2 linked regions of the Bombyx mori genome follow. The protein of the gene in region 1 purifies or fractionates together with the protein of each later gene. This does not show direct contact. Links are inferred from orthologs where the notes say so. Each region holds a gene or a part of one and is shown in the gene's direction. Other genes may lie near its edges.

Region 1 (3,657 bases):
GTGTTTAAGTAATCTCTGCGAATGCATGCGGCATTTATTTAGTAGAAATGGTGTGAAGTTTTGTAATATTGTGGAGTATTTGCCTTATTTTTAGTACTACCGAAGTCAGGTTTTTTGAACTACTCAATCGGTGGCTTCCACCATCCATAGACAAACAACTATGGCGGCTTTGCCTGAAAGAAAAAGTCAGAATATGTTAATTCTAGAATGGCAATACAAAATCTAATCTTCTTCTGATACTAATATTAATATTTTTTTTTGTTCTGGTGGCTGATGACTCTATGGTACCAACCACATAACTTATAACAGTATAAGTCCCCTTAGATGTCGAGATCAAAAAATAAGTGCTAAAATTCGTCTACTATTACTTGTTGGTATTAAAGAATCATTATCGTTTTAGATAAAGACAAAGAGAGGTGCACCTTTAGACAACTTGACGGAGCAGTCGGTGCTCACTATACACTTCAGGCTGAACAGCGACATTGCCGTGGACATCGACTCGGAGCCGCTCGGAGTCATCGGCGCTGTTTCAAGGAATGCTTGTCACGTCTTCCCCCTGATCGATCTTTACGGTCGCGTCACTCAAGTGAGTACGAGTTTGTATTATCGATTCGAATCGATCTTAATGCCGTGCGACCCTAGCTAGACCAGGGGTCACTAATTAGCTTAGTTCGGAGTCTGTTTTAAGAAATGAAATGACAATCGCGCAACGCCGTACATTTTATAAAAAATATATATATATATTTAGTAATCAAATGTACGGAAATAACAAAGGTATTTTTTTACATATAAATGATAAAAATGAAATATTTTTGAAACGGACTATCTGTCTGAAGTTCGGAGAAAAATTAGTGCAAGATATTTTAATTAATTCCCAGAGATGTTCATCAGTAAGTCGAGATCGAAATTTATTCTTGATGAAGTTCATTTTCGAAAATGTTGCTTTACAAAATTATCTAGAACTCTTCACTGGAAATTTCCGTGCATAGTAGTACGAGTTGCTGTGTTTTCGCGGTCCACACAAAATCGATCAGCGGTCCGGATGAAGACCGCGGTCCGCAATTTGATGACCCCTGCCCTATTATATAGATACTATATAGTCCGGACTATATAATCCGGCTATGAATCAGTATGACTGAACCCAGCATTCTTCAAGCCACTACTACCCTGCAATCTGTCTATAACCGATTTAACCTGTAAACCTTGTTTAGCTTTCCCCGTTTTTTTTTGCAATGGAGTACTGATGGTAGGGCATATTGTGAGCCCTTGTAGGTTAGTACCACTGTCCTATTCGTTTCTGGTGCAAAGAAATCATGCGTTCTGATTTATAAGACCGGTAACGCTACAAGGATAACCGCCATTTCAGCTTAATTAAAACCTCGAATTCAAATTCTAGGTGTCTGTACTGTTGCATCCTCACGTGGTCGTGAGCGGCACTTCGATCGACCTACCCATCATAGCTGAAAATCAAAGAGAAGAATCGATGTCGGATCTCGACATGAATGAAGAACCAACTCGTGAATTATTCGAAACCAATTTGACCGAAATGCGAATCCGTCGAAAACTGAAAGCCTATAGCCACGACAACCTCATCGAGGACGAGCTGGAACCTATCGCGGCTCAGCCCGGACCCAGCTCCCGACGCGATATCCTGCCTCTAGAATGCATTCCGCTCAGTAACTTCGAGACGAAGAATCCAGCGATAAGACGCAAGAGACAATGTCCCAATCAGCTCTCTTTACACCAAAGCCTGATAATGTCAGACAATACGATGTCGTCAAACAGCTGTGATACATCTACATCGTCGCGCTTCATTCACAAGAGTCATTCCTCTCATAATTTTAGTCTGATACAAGACGATATCGAACTAAAGGTGTTACGTCATACGTACAGTGTAGGCTCACAGATAGCGGATCACTCGGACAGCTTGTCGCACGGACAGTTTTACGATACGAACATTCGCCATAACGATCGGTATCCCGAAGCGAACGATGTCGATAATTTGGATAATGAGATAATGGACGCTCTCACTTTGGAAACTGGTAATTTGCCTGATCTAACCGAAGAGCAATCGTCGTCTTTAGATGAATCGACGCGCCGCGACGAGCTATGGTCCGAGCAGCTATCTATTGAGAACTTGAATTACCTCAATCGCATCTTGTGCTTCGATCAAGAGATGGACGAAGGTCAGAGCTTGGAGTCCGAGTGGGAAGCGTCAGGCGAAGGCTGTGAGCACTTGCATCTTGTTTTGAAGTATTGGAACTTTTTGGTTTGTCCGTACCCTGAACTTCGAAAGGCGGTGTCCTGGGGCCAGGTACGGTGCTACTGCAGTAACTGCCAACCGGACTTACTGCCTCCGTTTGCTGGTTAGTATGTATTGCATTGTCATGAATTTGAATTTTTTTTTTATTGATAGATGGGTGGACGAGCTCCCAGCCCACCTGGTGTTAAGTGGTTACTGGAGCCCACAGACATCTACGACGTAAATGCGCCACCCTCCTTGAGATATCAATTCTAAGGTCTCAGTATAGTTACATGTATTAGTAGAATTCTACTAATAAAGTACAGTTTATTAGTAGAATTCTACTAATAAAATCACCCGAAACCGGTCGGGGGCAAGGTGACGAGTTTTACGTAAAGTATATACATTCTCTTGCCCACTGGACACTGAGTTGGTGGTCGCCGGGCCTTAGCAAATATTTTTATAATATTTATACATAATATTGTATGAAATATTCACAACCAATTCATTCCTTGTATGTTTATGCGTTTGTGTAGATTGAATCACACAACGCCGAAATTAACTCGAACATGGAAACAATTAAATAGGTAAATTCTCAAATCATCACTAATTAATTATCATCATTAATTTACCGGTGATATGACCTCTTTTGAGTCTTTTGAGTCCGCACGGGTAGGTACCACCACCCCGCCTATTTCTGCCGTGAAGCAGTAATGCGTTTCGGTTTGAAGAGCGGGGCAGCCGTTGTAACTATACTGAGATCTTAGAACTCATATCACAAGGTGGGTGGCGGCATTTACGTTGTAGATGTCTATGGGCTCCAGTAACCACTTAACATCAGGTTGGCTGTGAGATCGTCCACCCATCTAAGCAATAAAAAAAACAATAAACAAAAGAGTATATATGCGTGTGTGTGTCAAAAACATGGTAGTGTGTACAATGTTTTTCTTATTAATTTAGTGTATTTTTAATGCATAATTTCGAAAAAATATTAGCATTCTGCACTCCTTCTCTATATAAACTATAAGCGTGGGAAATTTCATACTCCTCCGTCCGCGAAATTTTCGTTAAAAGAGATACAAAGTTTTTGCTTCACGTAATAATTTAAAGATATGTCAACTATCGAATACGTTTGGCGTGTACTATTAGGTTTTATAATACCTTGTTAACAATTCAGGTTGGGTTCGCATCGAGCGTATAGACGGTGTGGGAGCGGCTCAGCGTGGCTTCTGGAACGTGTCGAGGAACATTCTGGGTTCAGCGCAGGCCGCGCACGGGGAGAGCGGCTCGGTGCGAAGACCACGTGCTCTAGTAGACGTACCCTGCACATCGACTTCGTTCTCTGACATGTGACTATCTTTTTAACACGCTTCTATTATACTTTGGTAGGCAGCGGCTTGGCCCTGCCCCTGGCA
Region 2 (3,657 bases), on another chromosome or scaffold:
CCGCCATATTCAACAGTATTTAAAAAGTTGTTGTGTCGAACACAGCTCGCATAACGTCGAGGTACGTGGGCCGTTCGCCGGACCGCCTGAGCTCGAGCTATCACGCGGCTTTATCTAGGAACGGGTCCCCTTCGAACATGAGCTCGTCTTACACTGGCGATCTGCCAGGCCTCTCCTCCATGAGCCAGAGCTTCGACTCCACTGGTCTTATGTATGCGCTCGAGAAGAACGGACCAGTCAAAGAGAAGACGTTAGGTGAGTTTGTTAGGATCGTATCGTTGGCTTTGTGGTCATTTCCCTTTATTTCCAATTCGAAATCCGGCCGGAGTTCAAGATTTACTGGAGTTTTACTAGTGGTAGGACCTCTTGTGAGTCCGCGCGGGTAGGCACCATCACCCTGCCTATTTCTGCCATGAAGCAGTAATGCGTTTCGGTTTGAAGGGCGGGGCAGCCGTTGTAACTATACTTGAGACCTTAGAACTTATATCTCAAGATGGGTGGCGCATTTACGTTGTAGATGTCTATGGGCTACAGTAACCACTTAACACCAGGGAGGCTGTGAGCTCGTCCACCCATCTAAGCAATAAAAAAAAAGAAATAACCCATAGACACAGCCCGCTGAGTTTCTCGCCGGATCTTCTCAGTGGGTCGCGATTCCGATTTGGTGGTAAATTCTCCCAAACACTGCTCTTGCTAGGGCTAGTGCTAACAAACTCTCTCAGGTTCAACTCGAGAATGCACCTACCCGGCCGGGCGTAGCTAGAATAGCCCCTTAGGCTAGGGCCAGGCTACTTTTGTCTAATCTAATCAAAAATCTATTACAGAACAACCCCCAACACCGAAGCCGGTTAACCAGTCACTGGAGGCTGCATCCAAAATGGTTCCCGTACCGGAATCCCTCATGAGTCCAGACTACCAGGACCCCATCTACGACATACAAAAGACGATACCCAAACAGCACAACTCTGCGAACAGCGCCTCCTCGCACTCCAGCAACAGCAGCGCACAGGAGGACCGGCCCAAGCTGACAAGGAACACGAGAGGCTCGCCGAAATTAACCAAAAGCGCCACTTCCTCGCCGAAGTTAAGGTCCAAAGTCGAACGAAAGGGCAGCTTGACCAAGCTGGACGTGAAGAACTCTGACAAAATGAACGGAGTGAACAGTGACGTCATAGAGCAAGACAAACTGGAGATTATCAAGTTGGCTTCAAATCAGCGGAGACAGAAGAAGATGAGCGTGGAGTCGATGGCTGCGGTCACCATACAGAAGATGTGGCGAGGATACCGGAGCAGGAACCTTAACAAGGACACTCTCAGGATCCTTCATGCGATCCAAGCGGCGAGGGCCAGGCAACACATACAGTTCGTATACCTTACTAACTATCAGGCGACTGAAGGTGTATTATTAGGGGTTTTACCAGTCAAGACAAGACGGAAGATCTAACTGGATTATAATTTAGTTATCATTACGAAGATTGGTTGGGCGTATTGTGGAGTCCGCACCTGCCTATTCTGCCTATTTCTGCCGTGAAGCTTCCATGTGCTCCAGCTTGAAGAGTGGTACAACCAGCATACAGCACAATTGAGACTTCCACTTCATGTCTTAGTCATGTTCGCCTTAAGGATTCATTGTAATGTGTTACTCCTAGACAGTCGTTTAGACCTCGTGTGTCAAGATCAATAACATTGGTCATTTAAAACCACTGTATGAACCAAAGAAATGTTTTTTTTCTCTCTGTTATTTAGAAGACTAACCTGCGACATGGAGGCCACAAAAGCGGCCCTAGAAAGCGAAAGGAAAATACAGCAGCTACAGATGCAAGCTATTAACGCCCTCTGGAAGAAGGTCTCCACTTTACAAGCTTTAGGTGAGCCGGTGTGACCATTGTAGTGACATCGTGAGACGCCTATTTCTGCCGTGAAGCAGTAATGCGTTTTGGTTTGAAGGGTGGGGCAACCGTTGGAACTGTACTGAGACCTTAGAACTCATATCTCAAGATGGGTGGCGCATTTATGTTGTAGATGTCTATGGGCTCCAGTAACCACTTTACACCAGGTGGACTGTGAGCTCGTCCACACCTCTATGCAATAAAAAAAATAAAATAAAAAAGTACATACATTTAGAAAATTCTCAATAATATGTATGTTTTACATGATGTGATTTAATCTTCTTAAGACTTTTTTACTTTTTTTATGGCCACTATTTTTTTAAATTTTGCACCAATTTAAAAAGCTAAATTAAATATTTACAATTAATCAATTTACAATTTAATTACATTTGAGACGTGTACAGAATATATAAATGTATAGGCTAAAGTATCTGTTTGAATAAAGCCAATGATGATGAAGTAATTTAGAACAAAGAAAAATCAAACTTATTTGATTAAAAATCAGTTTTCTGTAATCAGCTAATCTATTCCTCGAAATGATTTTAAATTTTTCAATTAATGAAAATGGAAAATGTTTATTGGTGTCATTTTTTTGTAGATGGCAAACACAAGAACATGTCAGATTGCGATGAGAACACGGATGTACTGCGGCAGTTGTCAGAGAGATGTATCAACCTACAGGAACAGGTAAGTTTAATAAAATTAAAGATCGCCATAGGCTTTTTGGCTACTACTGTGTGCTCAGTGCGAGTTTTTTAACGTTCTCGATAGCATAAAAGTTAACTCAATTTGTATGCGGATAGAACAGTGCCCCTAGCGGCAAACGTAGGCGAACGTTTCAACTCCATACAGATTTGAGTGAACTTTCACGCCATCGCGAACGTTAAAAAACTTGCACTAAGCACACTGTTGGTACCAGGCGAGCTGATCGAATGAACGAACGAGTGAGTGAATGGAACATAAACACTGAGTGAACAAAAACAACTGAGAGTTACTACACTACCGGGCGGACTACGAATTAATTTATTGTACAGGGGACTTTTTGGCGGGAACGCGAGGAGTGAAGTTGGGTGATTTGTTTTATTTAGTCTATTTAGTGTTCCTTCAGGTTTAAATGTGTAGTTTTTTATTAACTGTTTAGTATCTGTAAAAGTGCACAAACATGGGAAAATGAAACAAACCCGCTAAACATAACTTCTCGGGATCCTCCAAAAAGTCTCAGTAAATGACCACCATTTAACTGAGATTATATTTCATTCTATATCATTCCATCTGCTTTAATTTCATTTCATAATATCATTTTTTATATAAAAAAGTTTTCATTAAAATTAAAATAAGACTTGACCTTAGTTACCAGGTCTTAGTTACCAGGTCATAATATTCATTAAATTTTTTTTTATGTTGCTTTTGCAGGTGGTGGAGTTGCAGAGTTGCATGCGCGAGGTGCTGCGCGCCGTGACCCCCGCGTCCCGCGCCGCGGCCCCCGCCCCGCCCCCCGCCGCGCCCGTCGCCACGCAGACTGACGTCACTGCCGTCCTCACGCCGCAGGTGTGTGGCCGTACACGCGCACGCACGCACACACACACATTGTTACCAGTCCTAAAGCATTTCGATTATCACTTTACATGTTTATTGAATTGAAGTAACTTAATTCTTATTACTGGTGGTATGACGTCTTGTGAGTCCGCACGGGTAGGTACCACCACCCTGCCTATTTCTGCCGTGAAGCAATAATGCGTTTCGGTTTGAAGGGTAGGGCAGCCGTTGT

Evidence for each region. The genes of interacting proteins can lie anywhere in the genome.
Region 2: the proteins of neuralized-like protein 4 (region 1) and centrosomal protein of 97 kDa purify together in Homo sapiens (affinity purification with western blotting; 4 studies listed by BioGRID and IntAct, with this or other methods). This does not show direct contact. The link is inferred for Bombyx mori from reciprocal best matches to the Homo sapiens genes NEURL4 and CEP97.

What each region holds. Positions count from the first base shown.
Region 1 is NC_085107.1:10,103,273-10,106,929, forward strand, and holds part of neuralized-like protein 4, read left to right. Parts: intron 1-400; coding exon 401-586; intron 587-1,396; coding exon 1,397-2,366; intron 2,367-3,419; coding exon 3,420-3,591; intron 3,592-3,657. UniProt on the Homo sapiens protein: Promotes CCP110 ubiquitination and proteasome-dependent degradation. By counteracting accumulation of CP110, maintains normal centriolar homeostasis and preventing formation of ectopic microtubular organizing centers.
Region 2 is NC_085120.1:10,929,630-10,933,286, forward strand, and holds part of centrosomal protein of 97 kDa, read left to right. Parts: intron 1-45; coding exon 46-255; intron 256-824; coding exon 825-1,362; intron 1,363-1,746; coding exon 1,747-1,868; intron 1,869-2,487; coding exon 2,488-2,576; intron 2,577-3,302; coding exon 3,303-3,437; intron 3,438-3,657. UniProt on the Homo sapiens protein: Acts as a key negative regulator of ciliogenesis in collaboration with CCP110 by capping the mother centriole thereby preventing cilia formation. Required for recruitment of CCP110 to the centrosome.